2 linked regions of the Oryzias latipes genome follow. The protein of the gene in region 2 interacts with the protein of the main gene of each other region in a pairwise test. Links are inferred from orthologs where the notes say so. Each region holds a gene or a part of one and is shown on either strand. Other genes may lie near its edges.

What was found.
Region 1: the proteins of rabac1 (region 2) and ras-related protein Rab-33A interact in binary tests that used the Homo sapiens proteins (3 or more experiments, as listed by UniProt). The two-hybrid records come from large-scale screens. The link is inferred for Oryzias latipes from reciprocal best matches to the Homo sapiens genes RABAC1 and RAB33A.

The regions. Positions count from the first base shown.
Region 1 is NC_019868.2:25,359,413-25,363,919, reverse strand, and holds part of ras-related protein Rab-33A, read right to left. Parts: exon of another isoform or gene 4,242-4,507; 5' UTR 4,207-4,241; coding exon 3,820-4,206; intron 1-3,819.
Region 2 is NC_019874.2:20,935,159-20,940,122, forward strand, and holds the start of rabac1 (prenylated Rab acceptor protein 1), read right to left. Parts: upstream 3,215-4,964; 5' UTR 3,159-3,214; intron 2,945-3,158; 5' UTR 2,880-2,944; exon of another isoform or gene 2,832-2,879; intron 1,597-2,831; 5' UTR 1,583-1,596; coding exon 1,461-1,582; intron 1,083-1,460; coding exon 870-1,082; intron 695-869; coding exon 597-694; intron 442-596; coding exon 340-441; intron 1-339. Other genes in the region: dedd2 (DNA-binding death effector domain-containing protein 2), read left to right, coding at 4,561-4,964. UniProt on the Homo sapiens protein: General Rab protein regulator required for vesicle formation from the Golgi complex. May control vesicle docking and fusion by mediating the action of Rab GTPases to the SNARE complexes.

The DNA of each region.
Region 1 (4,507 bases), on a different chromosome or scaffold from region 2:
AACAAAAAAAAAAGCATAACTTGTAGCAAAGAGTTGAAGATGTCCTTCGTTATAGGATAGTCGCAGGATTGTTCCCCAGTTGGCGTCATCTTCCATAAATTCAACATTCACTTTTTTGCTGATGACACCCAGCTCTGTCTATTCTTTTCCATACCTCTTTTTATTGATTTATTTTCCTAGTGTTATAATTTGGTTCACTTCAATTTTCTTAAAATCAAACAGAATCTCCTCTTTGTTACTAAATCCTCACTCTCCAAACAACAAAATGCTTAGTCTCTATTGACTCTTCCTCTGTCTCCTCTCCTCCCCATACTCTGGGTTTTATCATTGACAGATGTTTATCATTCCAGTCGCATATTAATAAGTAATCAGTAAATCCAAGATCAATCATTATTGCCCTTTTATCAGCCTCTCAACTCTGCTGTTACTCTTGTCTTTTCAGTCAAGCTTCTTAAAAAAAAACTCTCCCATCAACTCAAGTTGGTTCAAACCTCAGTCAATTGCCTTTTTATCAAAACTCGCTCATTCCATTACATCGCCCTCATCTTAAGAATAACTTCACCACTTTTGGTTAATTTCAGCATTCAATTTAGAATCCTTCTGGACATTTCAAGGACATTTCCTATAAATTCCTGCCTGATCTTCTGCATCTCTTCCTGCTCCCTCAGATCTTTCAGTATCCCCTCATTGTGCTTTATATGGGTTCAAATCCCTCTTGTCTGACATCTAAAACATTGACTCTCCTCCAGTCTGCAAATTTTCAACTTATCAGGTTCAAACACCATATTCAATGCGCTTGGTACTCCTTCATTGTTTTGTTTTTGCATCTTGCTTATTTTTGTGTTTTTGTGCTTTTGTTATTCCAGTGCTTTTTGTGTACAATGTCCTTGGAAAGGCTTAGCCAATTGTCTTCTAGTTGTTTTCCCTCCACTTAGTGTGAATGCAAACCAAACCCAAGCAACAAATCCCTTCAAACTGAATCAACTGGAGTGTTTGGCTGTTAAAACACCCTTAAAAGAAGCTGCCAAAATTGAAATCTTTTGCTGTTGATGTTTGACTAACAGTTCTGGTATTACATCTTCAGCAGCCCTTATGAGAATATTGTGCTCTGCCATATTAGCACCAACTCTAAGCAAACTCTGGATATACAGTCTGCCTCCCAAAACTCCCCACATCTTAGGTCCTGCTATGATAAGACAAAAAATGCAATTTGAAGTTAGAAGTGTTTCACAAAATTTAATAAAGACGTTTGATAGTAAAAAACGAAAAGGCAAATTGTCATTCTTCTATAATAAGTCTATAATAAGTCTATGAAGACTCTCATTCATCCAGGTAGATTCCATCATAGTAATAGGTTTAAAGTCTGTCATGTGAAAACCAAGTCCAAAAGACAACCTTTAAACCCACTACTATAATAACTTACAGAACTTGAAATCTCAAAAATAGAAAACTTTTTTGGATACACTTACTACATTCCTAAAGCAGGGGTCTGTCACCATGAATCACCAAGATTTTGGTGAGTTTAAGAAATTTTAAACTATTGCATTAAAGCAGAATCAGCCCACGTGACAAAATATCAAAAGAATTTAAAGAAAAATATGTAATAAATCCAAAAGTCTGACTGCAGATTTACAAAAGTCACGCAATCAGGCATAATTATGATGTTTTCCTTTTTACTGTCAGCAGCAGATAAATGAGTAAAATTAGAAAAAAAACTATGGTTATTTGTTGCTTAAAAAATAAAACCTGTATAAAAAACGTTATTACATAAACGGTGCAGATATAATCCTCTGCAGCAGCAAATTATATATCAGAATTAACCAGTGGAACTAAAAAAAAAAGTGTTTTGAAAGAAATTTTCTCACAGAAATAACACAACAGGTTGCCATCTGTAGCCCTTGTGCTATCCTATGACTCCACCCTTACATTGATGTGTTCTCCCTACCATGATAAAGGTGGAAAGATTTCATGTAATCCATGGACACCAGTGAAGATCACAAATCATTGAAGAAAAAAGGTTCAGCGCACTGTCTAGTGGGGTCTAGATGACCCAACGTTAAAGTGCCAAGGATAGCACAAGGGTTACACTCTACAGTAAAGGTGAACACAAACCAAAGCGCTCTGCCTGTAACAGCAGCCGGCTCCCAGCTCTGAGTTTAGCCCTGCTGAATGATCTCCTTTCACCACGAGAGGACGAGCCTGAGGTGAGCGCATTAAGGCTCAGGGATGGCGTGAGGCACAAAATACTAAACCAAGATGACAGCTAATAGAAATTACTTTTTTTTTAAACTACAAAGGTTAATGGGTCTTATATTTAGAAGTTTCTCTGAAAGACTGTGGCACAGTGAGGACTGCAGTTCAAAATCAGCAGGTAGGAGACAGAGTTCCAGGTATATCCATATTGTGGTTAAGGCAGAAAGGATTTGGACAATATGGATAAAAATGAACATTTTTTGTTGTTTTAATGAACGCTAAATATGAATCCTCAGTAGCTTTCAGAACAGTGTTATAGATCTAACTACGGTAACTTCAATTACCTGCCAGATATCAGGTTAGAGTTACAGCATTGAAACTGAATATGTTTGTTTAGTGACAAGTGCAGTAAATAGGATTCTGTTTCAGTTCCATTTTTCTTTCATTCTTGATCAAAATGATTGGTGTTGCTGCATTTCTACTTGTAAATTAAGTATAATTTTTCCACAGATTACGAAGGCTGCTAATGCTCTTCTTAGTGCAGGTTTTTGAATTTTTGGTGCATTTTAGGAAAACAGATTATTAATACTCTGTAATACTATTTTTTGTATCTTTTGTTAAAGCATTCCCAGGCGTCTTTTAGTTATGATTAAAATTACGGGTAAAAGCCGGTGTCGTTTCCCGGGGCATTGTTTCTGCTGAGCGCCAGAAGTTCCTTAGAAATTTGCCTCTGAGCTGCAGGCAGAATTGTTGGCGTAGAGTGAGCCTTCCCTCATTTCCCATCATCATCGCTTTGTTTACAGTCTCTCCCAGCTAGCTTACAGCTCCTCCAAACCCCAACCTAATATAACCGGTGCAACAACAAACTTTTTCAAATTTCAACTGCTCCTGATTTAAGACAATTTGAATGAAAAAATGCCAAAAAAAATGCTATTTTAATCTCAATTTTCTTCATATGTGTCCTCCATTGTGAGAAGAAAGCTACAGAAACATGTTAAAACCACCAAAACACAATTTTCATTGGAGTGGCTCTATATTTTACTCACTCAATTATTCTTCATCTGCAGAACGTTTTTTTTTTTGCTCATTATGTCATGATGTTTTGCTGTCCGTCATATTGTGGAGGCAAAGTCGACGTATGTAGGAGCTGCAGTTTGCAGGAAACTGGTTGCCAATATTCATGTCAGACACCAATATCCTGTAATTCCGCTTTTTATTCTTGAGTTGTTTTTTTTAAGCAATAGATAGGACTTATTGGATTGTTTTTTTTGTGTTTGATATATTATTAGTTCATCTTTCAATCATTTAAAAGGATTAAGTCTGCAGGAAGTTTTTTTTCAGCTTTTGACTAATTTTCAGCAACTATTTGTTTTTTGTTTATGTTTTACATTTATTTTTACCAGACTGAGCATCATAATCCATTTCTTGTTTCTATAGTTTGATGCAGACATGGTGACATTTAACTGACACAGTCTGTTTTTGTTCTGCTGCAGACAAAGCCACACAGATTCCAGCCTCCCAGCTGAAACCTTCTGGAGATGTTTGATCTGCGCCACGAAGAGGATGAGGATGAGGAGGAGCGAGGAAACCCCCTCTGAACATCCACCCCCTCCTGGCTGAATTTACCTTGATGGTTTCTCCTTCAATCTCCACCGCCTTCTCCCTGAAATCCACACCGATGGTGGCTTCCGTTTTGTCGGGGAAGCTCCCGCCGGTGAAGCGGAAGGTGAGGCACGTCTTCCCCACGTTCGAGTCCCCGATGACGATGATCTTGAAGATCCGCGTCTGGATGCTCGTCTCCAGGGAGGAGGAGCTCAGCTCCACGGAGGACGTGAAGCTCGGGGCGGCGTCGTTGGCGCTGTCGGCCCGGCTCCTGCTGGCTCTCGGGAAATCCATGCTGGAGGTCAGGATGGTGACATTGTCGTCCGCGCGGCCTCTCCGCGCCGCTCCCATCCCGACTCCAGCGCCGCCGCCCGGAGCTCGGCTCTCCTCCTCCGGGGATTCGTTCGTCATTGTGTCCGTGGAGGAGATGGGCAGGTCGGTGTGTGCTGGAGAAGGAGCGGATGGAGGGATGAGGGAAGGGAGGGGGGAGAAGGAGGAGACCGGAGGCGCAACAATAGTGAGGATGCTGCGCTTCAGCTGAGGGAATCCTTAAAGAAGCAAGACGAGATCCAGAGGAGACGCGTCAGTTTTACGCAGCAAACATCAATGAAATCAAACACATTTGGTTCCAGTTCTGCCTCTACGAGCCTCTCATTGCTATATAACCTCACATTCTTTTTGTTTTTCAATGAATATGAGCTGCACTCAATCC
Region 2 (4,964 bases):
AGGTGGAAAGATTTCATGTAATCCATGGACACCAATGAAGATCACAAATCATTGAAGAAAAAAGGTTCAGAGCACTGTCTGGTGGGTCTAGATGACCCAACTCCCAGTGGTAAAGGGCCTAGGATAGCACAAGGGTTAAGCCAGCCTGACCAAACCTGACCAAGTGCCTAAACCCCTGTTGAGGAGCAGCTCTCTATGTTCATGGAAGTTGCCACAACAGTATTCCTTTGGTTACCAACATAACTTGAGATATCAATGTAGCTCTAATTTTACAACTGAGTGTTTAAAGAGATGTTCTGGTGAACATAGAGTATGACGGAAACACTTAGTTTATCTCACCAAGAACCCAAAACACAGCAGCTCCAGCTCCAGCCAGCCAGAACACCGGCAGGGACAAGGCTCCAGCGAGACCCATCTGATGAGGGACATTAAGCTGTTTGCCTGGAAAAAAACAAAGTTGGCAAACACATGAAAACATAATTCTCTGTGGCTTTCTATAAGATTCTCCCATTTCATGCATGGCTGAAAAAAACTCTGAAAAAAAGTTTTTTCACTTTCAGGCAAGTTAAGGACAGCAGTTTTTCTGTTTTACTTACCAAGAACAACCAGTCTGGACTCTTGAGACTTCAGGTGGATTATGTAGAAGGCACCAAGAAACACAGCCAATGCAATCAGTAGCATAGGGGAGCTTATACTGACAAGAAAAGAAAAAAAAAAAGGCTCATAATGCTGTTACTGATTCAATCTTTTCTTTTTCTTTTCTCAATCCCGGTGGCCTTAGTGTGTGCAGTCAGTGTTGCATCTGTTATTTCATAAAACTTCAATAATGTTTTGAGGTAAGGCCAAAGCAAACTCAGGTTTACACCTACATGCAGTACAGGATGAGACCCAGGAAGATGAAGGTGTAGTTGCTGTTGTAAGTTTCCACATTTTTCACCACTCTCTGGCATGCATCTCCGAAGTTTCGTGGTTTTGAAAACTTGCGTTGGTCCACAAAACTGGCCCACGGTCGAATGGACAATCGGCGCCTATCAATCCACTCCTTGGCCATGCTGGCAGAGAAGCCTTTAGGGAGCCAGAGCCTACAAAATAAAGGTAAAATGGTAATAAAGCGTACAAACTCTCAAGGAAAAAGTCAATGCATTACAACTTTTGACAATATGAGCAAAACAAAAAAGTATTTTGTAGTTTGATTAAGGAAATTCTTAGAAACTTTGACAAAACAAAACTTTAAAAAAAAAAAAATTTTAAGTAATGAGGCACAGTCTACAGAACAGGAGGATGAGGATTTAGGACTAACTCCACCCCCAAAAGTGGATGTGTAAAGACAGTAACTCACAGAGCCTTAGCACCATTGCTGTGGTTTTTCTACAAACGCTGTTTAATGTCCACGTCCATCACCGAAGAAAGTTGTTTGGGTCACTAAACTCCTTTTTAAAAAAAACAAAACTGACTCGTACTTTGAAAGGATTCCAGCTCCACCCGTGCCAGTTGGGTGAGCATCTTCAGCCGTAAACAGATCTCCAGCCTTGCTGTCCATGTCCACTTGACAGTTCTCTCCCTTTGGTACTCCAGATGGCATCTGCAAACCTTCTCCTGAAAATAAAAGAAAATAGAATAAATAAAATAAAAGAAATAGTCTTAAGATTTTTCCTTCACATACTTTTTTTTCCCCCTTCTTCGGATCAGCACAAGATAAATAGTCCAAAAACTGTGTGGAAAAATGGCCTTCCTTTATATGGAGATAGATGTTTTTTACGAGAGATGAAGTGGGATAAAAGAATATTAACGTTTTTGAGTTTGAGGTTGTTTAATGAAGAGCCTAAGTATTAATAATAATTATAGAAAATCATAAAATAGAAAATATATACATATGACTGAAGACATATACCCAAATACTACAATGGGTAACTGAGTAAACAAATGAACGGAAGATAGAAGCTCAGGAAAGATCTGACTCCTTTTCTTTTCCTTTTTTGCCTATTGTTTACTGTTAACATGCAGATAAGTGCATGCCAAGTTTGCATGTGGGATGTTGTTACATCATTGGGTTTGTCAAGTGGTTTAAAGATTTTGTTTTGTTTAGTTTCTCCATTTTGCTTCTAAAGTTAATTTAAAAAAAAAAAAAAGAAAAAAAAAGATTGTCTTATTGGAAGTTTGCATTTTTCCTCGTATTTTTCAATGTACAAACGATATGTATCCTTTATAAAACATGTCAGAATTTTTCTGGATTCTTCTTTATTTTCCCCTGTTTAAATGGGAAATAAAACACCATACACCATACAACCATACAATCTTTACGATTTTTGTAACACTCCTCGAGGTGCATCAAAAGCAAACTTAAATAAATAAATAAAAAAGGAAAAAGGAAAGGAAAACCTGTTTACTTTATTTTTTAAAGGTAAATAACAATTGATATATTTTATAAAATGTGTTTAAAATGGAGAAACAGCAGTAACTACAAAAGAAAAACTACATGATCACTAGTTTCCACATTATTCTTAAGAGCATAGAGGTTAGATTTTAATTCAAACTTGTTCCTGATTGGCCAGAAACATAGGAGCGGATCTCGTAAGTGGAAAATTTTTGTCAACAGGGCTTGGTCACTGCCACATCACTGACAAAGGCCGAGAACTGAGCCAGAAAACGACATTTTGAGCAAGTAAAAATCTTTTAAGGATCAAATTTGTCCATATGTGTCGAATTATAAGTGGAATAACTTTTATAAAATGAATACTACCTACTTCTTCGTGTCTCATGTTAAATCAAACTGATTGTACGAAGATCACAGTAATTTATAAACATTGAAATGAAAAGACATAAGATTTTACCTTCGTGATGTGTCAAATGTCAAACCTACAGACGATGTAGATACTTACAGACCAAGTTATGGATAAAAAGCCAAGTTGTTTTGTTGCTGTTGGTCCTCACGGATGTGATGTGGCTGAAGAAGAAGAAGAAGAAGAAAAGAACTTCCTACAACACCAATGCCGCACACTGCCCCCTGCTGGTTGCACCAAAGAACTCCCCAGTCTATGATGTTATTTTTTCCCTTACATTTAACCATATAAAAATATTTTATTCATTCCTCTATTTAACTTTGAAGTCGACAAGAAATCAAAAAACATTTTTAGTGCCAAAGTGACAGAGATTACTACCTTGATTCTTTTAGGAACAATCTGGGAACAATCGGTATGTTAAGTGTGGCAAAAACGTGACCTTACGTTATGAAACCCAGCCCGAGAGCTGTGATTGGTCAATTTACGACTCACGTCTAGCCACTGTCACGTCGCACGTTGCATTGTGGAAGTTGCTAGATCATCCAGCGTCAGGCAAGCTATCGCGGCTGAAAGGTGAGGTCTAATGCACTCTAGGAATATTCTCTTTGTGGAAAATGTAACCTAATAGTGTTTTAAAGGCGCGTGTTTAACGTTACGCTGTATTAGTTGACGCCTTAGCGTCTGCTAGACTAATAAGTTCAGCGGGATTCATCATCATGTCGTCGCACCGACCGTCGTTGAAACAAACAATAGACCGTCTTATTTGTCTCTAGAATTGTTTTTCTGCTAATTTTGCGTGGTGTTACGTGAAGTATAACTGCCAACGAGCTCCTGTGTGTGTGTTTTTAATCGAACAATTGAAGAGCTGTGTGTTTTGTATGTGTTGTCCCCCACCCTACTGATTACATAACTCTGTTCAGAGGAACGGTACCGAGTCGGTAAAGATAACATTAGCAATTGTAGCTAGGCATATATGACAGTAATTAAACACATCTCGATGCATTTCATTATAGGTGGTAGCTGCTTGCAAGTTTGAAGAAAATCTTAAATAGTGAGTGTTCGTTTGTGGCACACAATGTACACACAAAGACTTAACATGACAACTACTAGCTACAATTAAAATACCCACTCCGATGAAAATGAAAATTTAGCTTAGAATTGCATTTCTGAGTATTTCTTTATGCAAACTGATGTGAATTAGACGCAAAAAGCTGTTGCAAAAAAACGTGTAAGTGTGACGTAGAAGCTACTACACCAACCAAGCTCCCTCACTGCTCCATTCTGATGCTTCATTCTGACACATTTGGGCTTCATTTTCCTCGTCTGAGCTGCCATCTGGCTCAAAACTGTACGGTTGGATAGCTCCAATATTGTTCACAATTTTTGTTGCACCACTAATGTGCAGTGGAAGTTGTGATTGTGAGGGGCTGTAAGCGAGTGTGTAAAGGGATGGTGGTAAGGGGGGGCTAACTCCATGCCAGCAGTCCTGCCCACGACTCTGGGGGGTTAATTTCTAATTAACTCCTGCCGCTATGCAGAAACCTTCCTAGAAAACAACACGGGGAACGCTTTGAAAATATTTTAAAAGATGATCGGAGTGGGGCCTTCAAATTGTTACGTTTTTTAAATGAAATTATTAATTAAGGAACCTGATACCATTTGTTTGGTTTCAAGTTTCAAACATAAACATGGTTAAAGTAATTTTTTTGTGTTTGTTTTCTTTTTCCCCTAAACTCCACAGTTTTATTTGAGTGGGAAACTTGGAAAAAAGGGGTAAACCATGGCTTCAATGAATTATCCTGAATGCACACTGAAGAATTCCTTATACTGGGATGAAGCAGAGTGCCTTAACTACTATGGGATGATGTCTCTTCATGAGATGTTTGAAATAGTCGGAGCTCAGCTGACAGAGACCGACATTGAAGTGCTCTACTTTCTATTGAATGAAACCTACTCAGCCAAACACCCCCTAGATCCGGAAGGCTGGACAGTTAAACCCTCAGAGGACAGTCCAGAGGACCCGGGTGCCAGCCCAAGTCCACAGCTGTTAAAAGCGTGGAGGCGGTTGAAGCCGAAAGAATCGCAGCAGCCTTTAGTGGACTCAAAGCCCAAGAGTGGCCTTGAGCTGCTGCTGGAGCTGGAGAGGAGGGGACACCTCGGTGACGGGAACCTGGAACCTCTGCT